Macaca mulatta: one gene and its partner. The protein of the gene in region 1 interacts with the protein of each later gene in a pairwise test. Links are inferred from orthologs where the notes say so. Each region holds a gene or a part of one and is shown in the gene's direction. Other genes may lie near its edges.

Region 1 (3,521 bases):
TTTGTTCACATATATTCACAGTCCAAAAATAGAATAAGGACATTAAGCCAAGATATGAGGCCAGTAGGTATAAACAGGAGGCCAGTAGGTATAAAAAGGAGCCCAGTGGTAGCTGGTGGTGAATGAATATCAGGAGTTGGGCTGGGGTTGGGGTTTAGGATGGACAGTTTGATGATCCAGGATCTGTACTGTTTGGAACTTGGCACTCAACAGCTCTTCAGTAAATAGTTTTTTGAACTATTTAAAATGATGCAGGAAGATATTTTGAAACTTGGCAAGTAGTACCATTCTTCTTGGGTCTTGCAGAGGCTATTCCCTAGCTGAACTGAATTTTGGTGTTAGTATTAACTGGCATGGTTTTACACAAGTTTGTGGAATCAACAGCTATGAAGTACCTCCTTGTTGGAGGGCTGATGGGCAGATGGGAGCTCATCAGACAACCCCCCTTCCCCCATCTCTCTTCTCAGCCTCTGTGTCCAGATGTTTGACTGGTTTGACTACCATGGCCACATGTGTATCTCCTTTGAGCTTCTGGGCCTTAGCACCTTCGATTTCCTCAAAGACAACAACTACCTGCCCTACCCCATCCACCAAGTGCGCCACATGGCCTTCCAGCTGTGCCAGGCTGTCAAGTGTGAGTGGGGTGGGCTGAAATGGACTCTCGAGCATCCCCTCCCTTCATTGGATCTCTCTGTCGGTTGTGCACTGGTGAAGCCCCTAAACAGTCAGCTCTCTGTTATCTGCAGTTGTTTTACTGTCATCTTGAAATGTCTTCTGACTTAGCTCCTTGACTAATGTCTTTATTGTCACTGACTGCTCTTACTCTACACCTAACCTAGCAGCAGCTAGAAGAGAAAGCCTTTGGAATCAAAGCACTTAATTACCCTCCCCTTTTCCTTTCCTCCCCTTCTTGGGAAAGCATCAGTCAGACAGCAAATATAAAGAAACAAAAATACACTCTTTAGGTTAAAGGCTTACATGTGTCTGGGATGAGATGTTCATGCAAAGCAAAGCAGATGTGAACACAGAGTATGTAGTTCAGCTAAGGGGCAAGGTGGGGAATTCAAAGAAATACATTATTCCTCTGGAGTCATCAAAACAATACAGTTTCACAGAACTAAGTTCACATAATGCCAGCTAGACACATGTCAAAGTGTATACACACTATAACTCAAAGCAAACTCTTTTTTTTTTTTTTTTTTACATCAGTTGAGATACATATGTATCTTATTGTAGATAGAGCAGAGCTTCTTAGACCAGGCATTCCATTTAGACGTAGAGCAGAAAGCAGCCCTCTTGTGATTCTGGACCTGTCTCCTCACTGGCTTTGCCCTAGGTAACCAGGCCTGGGGTCAGCTGATACCAGTTAGCTCTGGCCACCTGCACCAAGCCTGACCTGGCCTTCTCCCCTACAGTCCTCCATGATAACAAGCTGACACATACAGACCTCAAGCCTGAAAATATTCTGTTTGTGAATTCAGACTATGAGCTCACCTACAACCTAGAGAAGGTAAGATGGATAGGGTCTGCCCTTGGTTACTGGGGGTAGGCAGCTGGGCCACTTTGCCTTCTGCCGAGCCCTTTCTTTTCTCCCTTTTTATTTTGTCCTGCCACATTTTCTCCCTGTCTGGTTCCAAGTGGGTAAAACTAGATAGGTTGAAAGGGAGAGATCTCTTAAGACTTAAATTGGGAGATAACTTGTACAGGGGACTTCAGATAACTTTCCAGTAGAGTGAAAAATTTTAAGGTTCTGTTTGGACTGACTGACTGATTTATTTATTTATTTGAGATTGGAGTCTCGCTCTGTTGCCCAGGCTGATGTGCACTGGCATAATCTTGGCTCACTGCAACTTCTACCTCCCAAGTTTAAGTGATTCTCCTGCCTCAGCCTCTGGAGTAGCTGGGATTACAGGCACCCGCCACCATGCCTGGCTAGTTTTTGTGTTTTTAGTAGAGATGGGGTTTTGCCATGTTGGCCAGGCTGGTCTCGAACCCCTAACCTCAGAGGATCCACCTATCTCGGGCTCCCAGAATGCTGGGATTACAGGTGTGAGCCACAGCGCCTGGCCTGGACTTGTTTTTTGAGATGTGTATTTCTGTGAGGTAGGAAAGCTTGGCTCCCTTGACTAACTGGAGATGATGGAGATCTCAGACCTAAAGAAGCTCTCCCTCCCTTGACCCCTTTGCTGCATGTTATATATTTTCAGAGAAACCCCTTTGCTACATGTTACATTTTTTTCAGGAAAACCCATTTGCTACATGTTACACGTTTTCAGAATAACTGTATATCCGGCACTTGGGTGTAGTCTTCAGATGTTTACAGATGTGCACGCTGTTCTATAATCATTTCTTAATCCTTTTGCTCCCCTACTTCTAAAAGTATTATGCTGGATGTGGTGGGAGCTGTAAAACAGGAAATTTCCCAGGGCTTGTGGGGCCAGGCAGGAGATCACAGTAGCTTTTTTAAGGCTCAGAAGCACGGTAGAGAATACTGGTGGAATCTCAGTCTGGGTGCAGAGGTTCATCCTCTTCCTCCTCTGCTCCTAGAAGCGAGATGAGCGCAGTGTGAAGAGCACAGCTGTGCGGGTGGTAGACTTTGGCAGTGCCACCTTTGACCATGAGCACCATAGCACCATTGTCTCCACTCGCCATTACCGAGCACCAGAGGTCATCCTTGGTAAGGGAGGGCAAGGCTGTCCAAGTGTGTGAGATGATGTGGTGAGGGTGGGGCCACCTAAGCCTCATAACACCTTTTCCCTCCCATTCTCACCCAGAGTTGGGCTGGTCACAGCCTTGTGATGTATGGAGTATAGGCTGCATCATCTTTGAGTACTATGTGGGATTCACCCTCTTCCAGGTAAGTGATGGGATATCTTACTTGACCACCTGGCATTCTACCTGGTTGCTTTGTTGTCTGCTGAGGACCTGCCTACTCAGTTCTCCACATTGCCCATCTTCCTGGCAGCTGGTCCTCAGCATGCCCTTTTCAGTCCCATGCTCAGTTCTGTTTTTGTTTCCCAGACCCATGACAACAGAGAGCATCTAGCCATGATGGAAAGGATATTGGGTCCTATCCCTTCCCGGATGATCCGAAAGACAAGGTGAACCTTGAGTGTGCACTAGTTAACCCTTTTCCTTTTCTCTCCACAGAATTGGTCTATTTCACATCAGTTTCTTTTTTCTTTGATGCCTCCTGTCCCCCCAGTTACTTTCAGATGGGGAAATAAGGGAATTGTAACAAGGGTGACCTTCTGATTCCTCAACCTCCCCTTCCCCTCTAGAAAGCAGAAATATTTTTACCGGGGTCGCCTGGATTGGGATGAGAACACATCAGCTGGGCGCTATGTTCGTGAGAACTGCAAACCGCTGCGGGTGAGCCAGGCTCGGGATAAATAGTGCCCACCATCCAGAAGTCACTTCTTAGGGTGGTTTGCCCCTGGAATGCTCTTCACAAGCAGAGGGTTAGGAAAGGAGGGGAGGAAAGCTGAAAGAAGACATCTTTGGTCAACAGAGGAAACATA
Region 2 (4,209 bases), on another chromosome or scaffold:
AGCATGTGGCAGGTCGGGTATGGTGGGTCATGCCTGTAATCCCAACACTTTGGGAGGCCAAGGTGGGAGGATTGCTTGAGGCCAGGAGTTTAAGATCAGCTTGGCCAACATGGTGAGATCCCCATCTCTACAGCCCGAGAGGAGCCTGGGAGGTTAAGGCATGCCAACCTGGGCAACAGATCCAGGAAAGAAAGAAAAAAGAAAGAAAGGAAGGAAGGAAGGAAAAAAGGAAGGAAGCTAGCAAGGAAGGAAGGAAGGAAGGAAGAAAGGGAAGGAAGGAAGGAAGAAAGAGGAAGGAAGGAAAAGAAATAGCCGGGTGCGGTGAGGGAGGGAGGCCGAGGCGGGTGGAAAAAAAGAAGTTAGGAAGAAGGAAGGGAGGGAGGGAGGGAGGAAGGAAGGAAGGAAGGAAGGAAGGAAAGGAGAGAAAGAGGGAAAGAAACAAAAGAAAGGAAGGAAGGAAGGAAGGAAGGAAGGAAGGAAGGAAGGAAGGAAGGAAGGAAGGAAAAGAAATAGCCAGGTGTGGTGAGGGAGGGAGGCCGAGGTGGATGGAAAGAAAGAAAGTAGGAAGAAGAAAGAGGGAAGGAGGGAGGGAGGGAAAGTGTGGGCACGGTGGTATGAGGGCAGCCGAGACGGGTGGATCACTTGAGCCCAGGAGACCAGCCTGGCCAACATGGTGAAACTCCATCTCTACTAAAAATACAAAAATTAGCCAAGCGTGGTGGCACACTCCTGTTATCTCAGCTACTTGGGAGGCTGAGGTGGGAGAATCACTTGAATCTGAGAGGCAGAGGTTGCGGTGAATGGAGATGGCACCACTTCACTCCAGCCTGGGCGACAGAGAGAGATTGTCTCAGTAAAAAAAAAAAAAAAAAAAAAAAAAAAAAAAAAAGAGGAAAGAAAGAATGAAAGATGAAAGAAAGAAACAGAGAAAGAAAGAAAGAAAAGAAAAGAAAGAAAAGAAAGCATGTGGCATTGCAAGCCTGTGAATCCTCCCTAGATGTAAATTTGGGCTCGCTCTTGGAATTTGAGAGAAGCAGAGCACCAGCCCATTAAGTCAAGAATATAAGGTTTTATTCCCCATGAATGCCAACAGCAAAGAGGAGAAATGGGTTCTAGGAACTGTGAAAGGCAAGGGTCGGAACACCACATACACTAGAAACTTGTAGCCAACTAGGTAGTGTTCTGGGTGGAGACAATATTTTTAGAAAGGGGTATGCAGTGGGAGATGAGCGGGTCTTTCCTTTTTTTTTTTTTTTTCTAGTGAGCCAAGCTCCTGATAGGAGACTTGGTGAGAGGTATACGCCAAGCTCCACCCCTTGGGGCTTAGCAACAGCAAAGGAAGAGGCTATGATTGGAGGATCAGGTTAGCCCACCATGCTCCTCCCGCGCGGTGAGGGGGCGGTACACGCGCCTGAGCTCGGAGTGTGACGCCATGATACAGAGGAGATGGCTTCGTTTCAGAAGCTAACACTTCCTGAAAAAGTGTCGCCAAATCGTCCCAGTCGGAAAAAGGTTAACTTCCTAGATATGTCTCTAGGTATGTAGATCTCGGATCCCAGTCCCCACTAGTTTGGGCTCACTGGTCTTGAGCGCAAGACCTCGGCATACCGCTGACTAGAAGTGGCGTCGGGAGGAGCACACCGCTTCAAGGAGAGGCTTCCCCCTCAGGGCATCTCCGCACCTGCCCGGCCCCTATCCCTCCTCTCCTCTTCTTCTCCTCACCTCCAGCCCTCTCCTTTCAGGTGGGGAACTCTGAGGGAGGCTGACAAAAAGTGCGTGGGGATTAAGGATTGCTGAAAGGGGCAGGCGGAGAAAATAGACCATTTCCGTGTATTTTACTCTCCCAAGAATTGATACCTAATTACTGGCCTCCTTCAAACACATGGGGCCAAGTGCTCTTCTCAGTCCAAGCGGATGTCATAAATCACTAGATTCCAGGGCCCGGAGGAGCAAGCCTCAGGCTATTTTGCTAGGGATTCCAGCGTGGTAGTGCCAAGAGTTGTTGGTGGGTTGGTGTATCTGCTTTGTTGGAAGGGGTGGTTGGTGCGTTTATTTGCTTGTTGGCTGGTGGTTATTCGCTCTGGATCGCCTTTCTTTGCAGGCACTCTCTAGTCTCTAACTTGAGACCTCTACACGGAGAGTGGAACCTTAGAAAAAATAAATCCTTTATCAATGCCCCTAACCTCCTCCATTCGCACCAAACCCAGAAAAAGTGAATTTTACTCGGACCAGTTCCTCTGCTATTATCCACCTTAGAAATGGGGAAGAGGGGAGGGAATAGACTTTCCAAGCCAGATAGGGAGTGAGCAGAGCTGAGTAGAGGATGGAAGCTGACTTTAGAAATGGAGAGGGGCATCAGAGCACGGAAGAAGGAAACTGTAGAAATGGGGGAAGGAGGACAAAACAGAAAAGGCCTACTTTATTTATTTAGGTTTGTGTGTCTGTGTGTGAAACAGGGGCTTGCTCTGTTTCTCAAGCAGGTGTGCAGTGGCATCATCTTGGCTCACTGCAACCTCCACCCCCTGGCGTCAAGCGATCCTCCCACCTCAGCCGCCCGAGTAGCTGGGACTACAGGCACATGCCACCACACCCGTCTAGGTTGTTTTTTGTTTTTGTTTTTGTTTTTTTGTATTAGTAGAACGAGGTTTCACCATGTTGCCCAGACTGGTCTCCTGGTCTCAAGTGATCTGCCCCCCTCGGCCTCCCAAAGTCCTGCAATTACAGGCGTGAGCCACCGCCCCCAGCCTGGTTAGTTGTTTTTGAGACAAGGTCAGGGACTGTTGTCTGGGCTGGAGTATAGTGGCACGATCAAGGCTCACTGTGGCCTCAAGCTCTCAGGCTCAATCAAGTGATCCTACCACCTCAGCCTCTAGAGGAACTGGAACCACAGGTGCTTGCCACCACACCTACCTAATTTTTAAATTTTTGTAGAGAATGGGTCTCCTTATGTTGCCCAGGCTGGTCTCGAACTCCTGGCCTCAAACAATCCTCCCGGCTCGGCCTCCCAAAATGCTGGGATTGTGGGCCTGAGCCACCGCGCCTGGCCAGGGGCCACTTTAGAAATGAGAGAGGGAGAGGCAGAGCAGTGGGAGCTGAGCTTCAATGTGGAAGTGCAGGGGTGGAGCGAGGAGAAGCAGGAACAAGGAGGGCGGACCTTAGAAATGGATGGAACAGTGGAAAGAGGGTTCACCTTAGAGATGAGAATAGGGGAGCAGAGCAGGGAGGGCTGAACTTTAAAAGGGGCAGGATAAGTGGAGGGAGAGTGTACCATAGAAATGAAGAAGTTTGGCTGGGCTTGGTGGCTCATTCCTGTAATCCCAGCAGTTTGGGAGGCTGAGGTGGGCGGCTTACTTGAGGCCAGGAGTTCGAGACCAGCCTGGCCAACATGGTGAAACCCCATCTGTACTAAAAATACAAAAATTAGCTGGGCATGGTGTTGTGTGCCTGTAGTCCCAGCTATGTGGGAGGCTGAGGCAGGAGAATTGCTTGAACCCGGGAGGTGGAGGCTCCAGTGAGTTGAGATCGCGGCACTGCACTCCAGCCTGGGTGCCAGAGTGAGACTCCATCTCAAAAAAAAAAAAAAAAAAAAAAAAGTACTGAAATGAAGAGGGGCGCTGTGGCTCATGCCTGTAATCGTGGGAGGCAGAGGTTAGGCTGGTCTTGAACTCCTGACCTCAAGTGATACGCTTGCCTCGGCCTCACACAGTGCTGGGATTACAGGCGTGAGCCACCTCGCCCGGCCTAAACTTTCTTTATAGTGTCCTTTGAAGTCCTGAAGTTTCAGATTCTGATAAAATACAATTTATCTGTTTTTTTGTTGTTGTTCATGCTTTGGAGTCATTTCTAGAAAATCATGAAGATATACCCTTGTTTCCTTCTGAGTTTTCTAGTTTTAACTCTTACATTTACATCTTTGATCCATTTTGAGTTCATTCTTGTATATGGGGTGAGTTAAGAGCCAACTTCATTATATTGCATTTTGATGTCTAATTGTTCCAGCACTACTTGTTAAAAAGACTAATTTTCCTCCATTGAAAGCTCTTCTTGGTGGAATTGCTTTCTTAATTTCATTTTTGGATAGTTAATTGCTGGTATATATAAATAGAATTAATTTTTGCATATAGATCTTGTATCCTGCAACCTTGCTGAGCGTGTTCATTAGTGCTAATCTCCGTGTGTGTGTGTGTGTGTGTGTGTGTGTATCTTTAG

Evidence for each region. The genes of interacting proteins can lie anywhere in the genome.
Region 2: the proteins of CLK2 (region 1) and LUZP4 interact in binary tests that used the Homo sapiens proteins (3 or more experiments, as listed by UniProt). The two-hybrid records come from large-scale screens. The link is inferred for Macaca mulatta from reciprocal best matches to the Homo sapiens genes CLK2 and LUZP4.

What each region holds. Positions count from the first base shown.
Region 1 is NC_133406.1:111,721,784-111,725,304, forward strand, and holds part of CLK2 (dual specificity protein kinase CLK2), read left to right. Parts: intron 1-467; coding exon 468-634; intron 635-1,415; coding exon 1,416-1,510; intron 1,511-2,547; coding exon 2,548-2,677; intron 2,678-2,774; coding exon 2,775-2,857; exon of another isoform or gene 2,858-3,021; coding exon 3,022-3,101; intron 3,102-3,281; coding exon 3,282-3,372; intron 3,373-3,521. UniProt on the Homo sapiens protein: Dual specificity kinase acting on both serine/threonine and tyrosine-containing substrates. Phosphorylates serine- and arginine-rich (SR) proteins of the spliceosomal complex.
Region 2 is NC_133426.1:121,839,514-121,843,722, forward strand, and holds the start of LUZP4 (leucine zipper protein 4), read left to right. Parts: upstream 1-1,400; 5' UTR 1,401-1,446; coding exon 1,447-1,537; intron 1,538-4,209. UniProt on the Homo sapiens protein: Export adapter involved in mRNA nuclear export in cancer cells. Binds and enhances the RNA-binding activity of the nuclear RNA export factor NXF1. Can restore mRNA export function in cells compromised by loss of mRNA export adapters.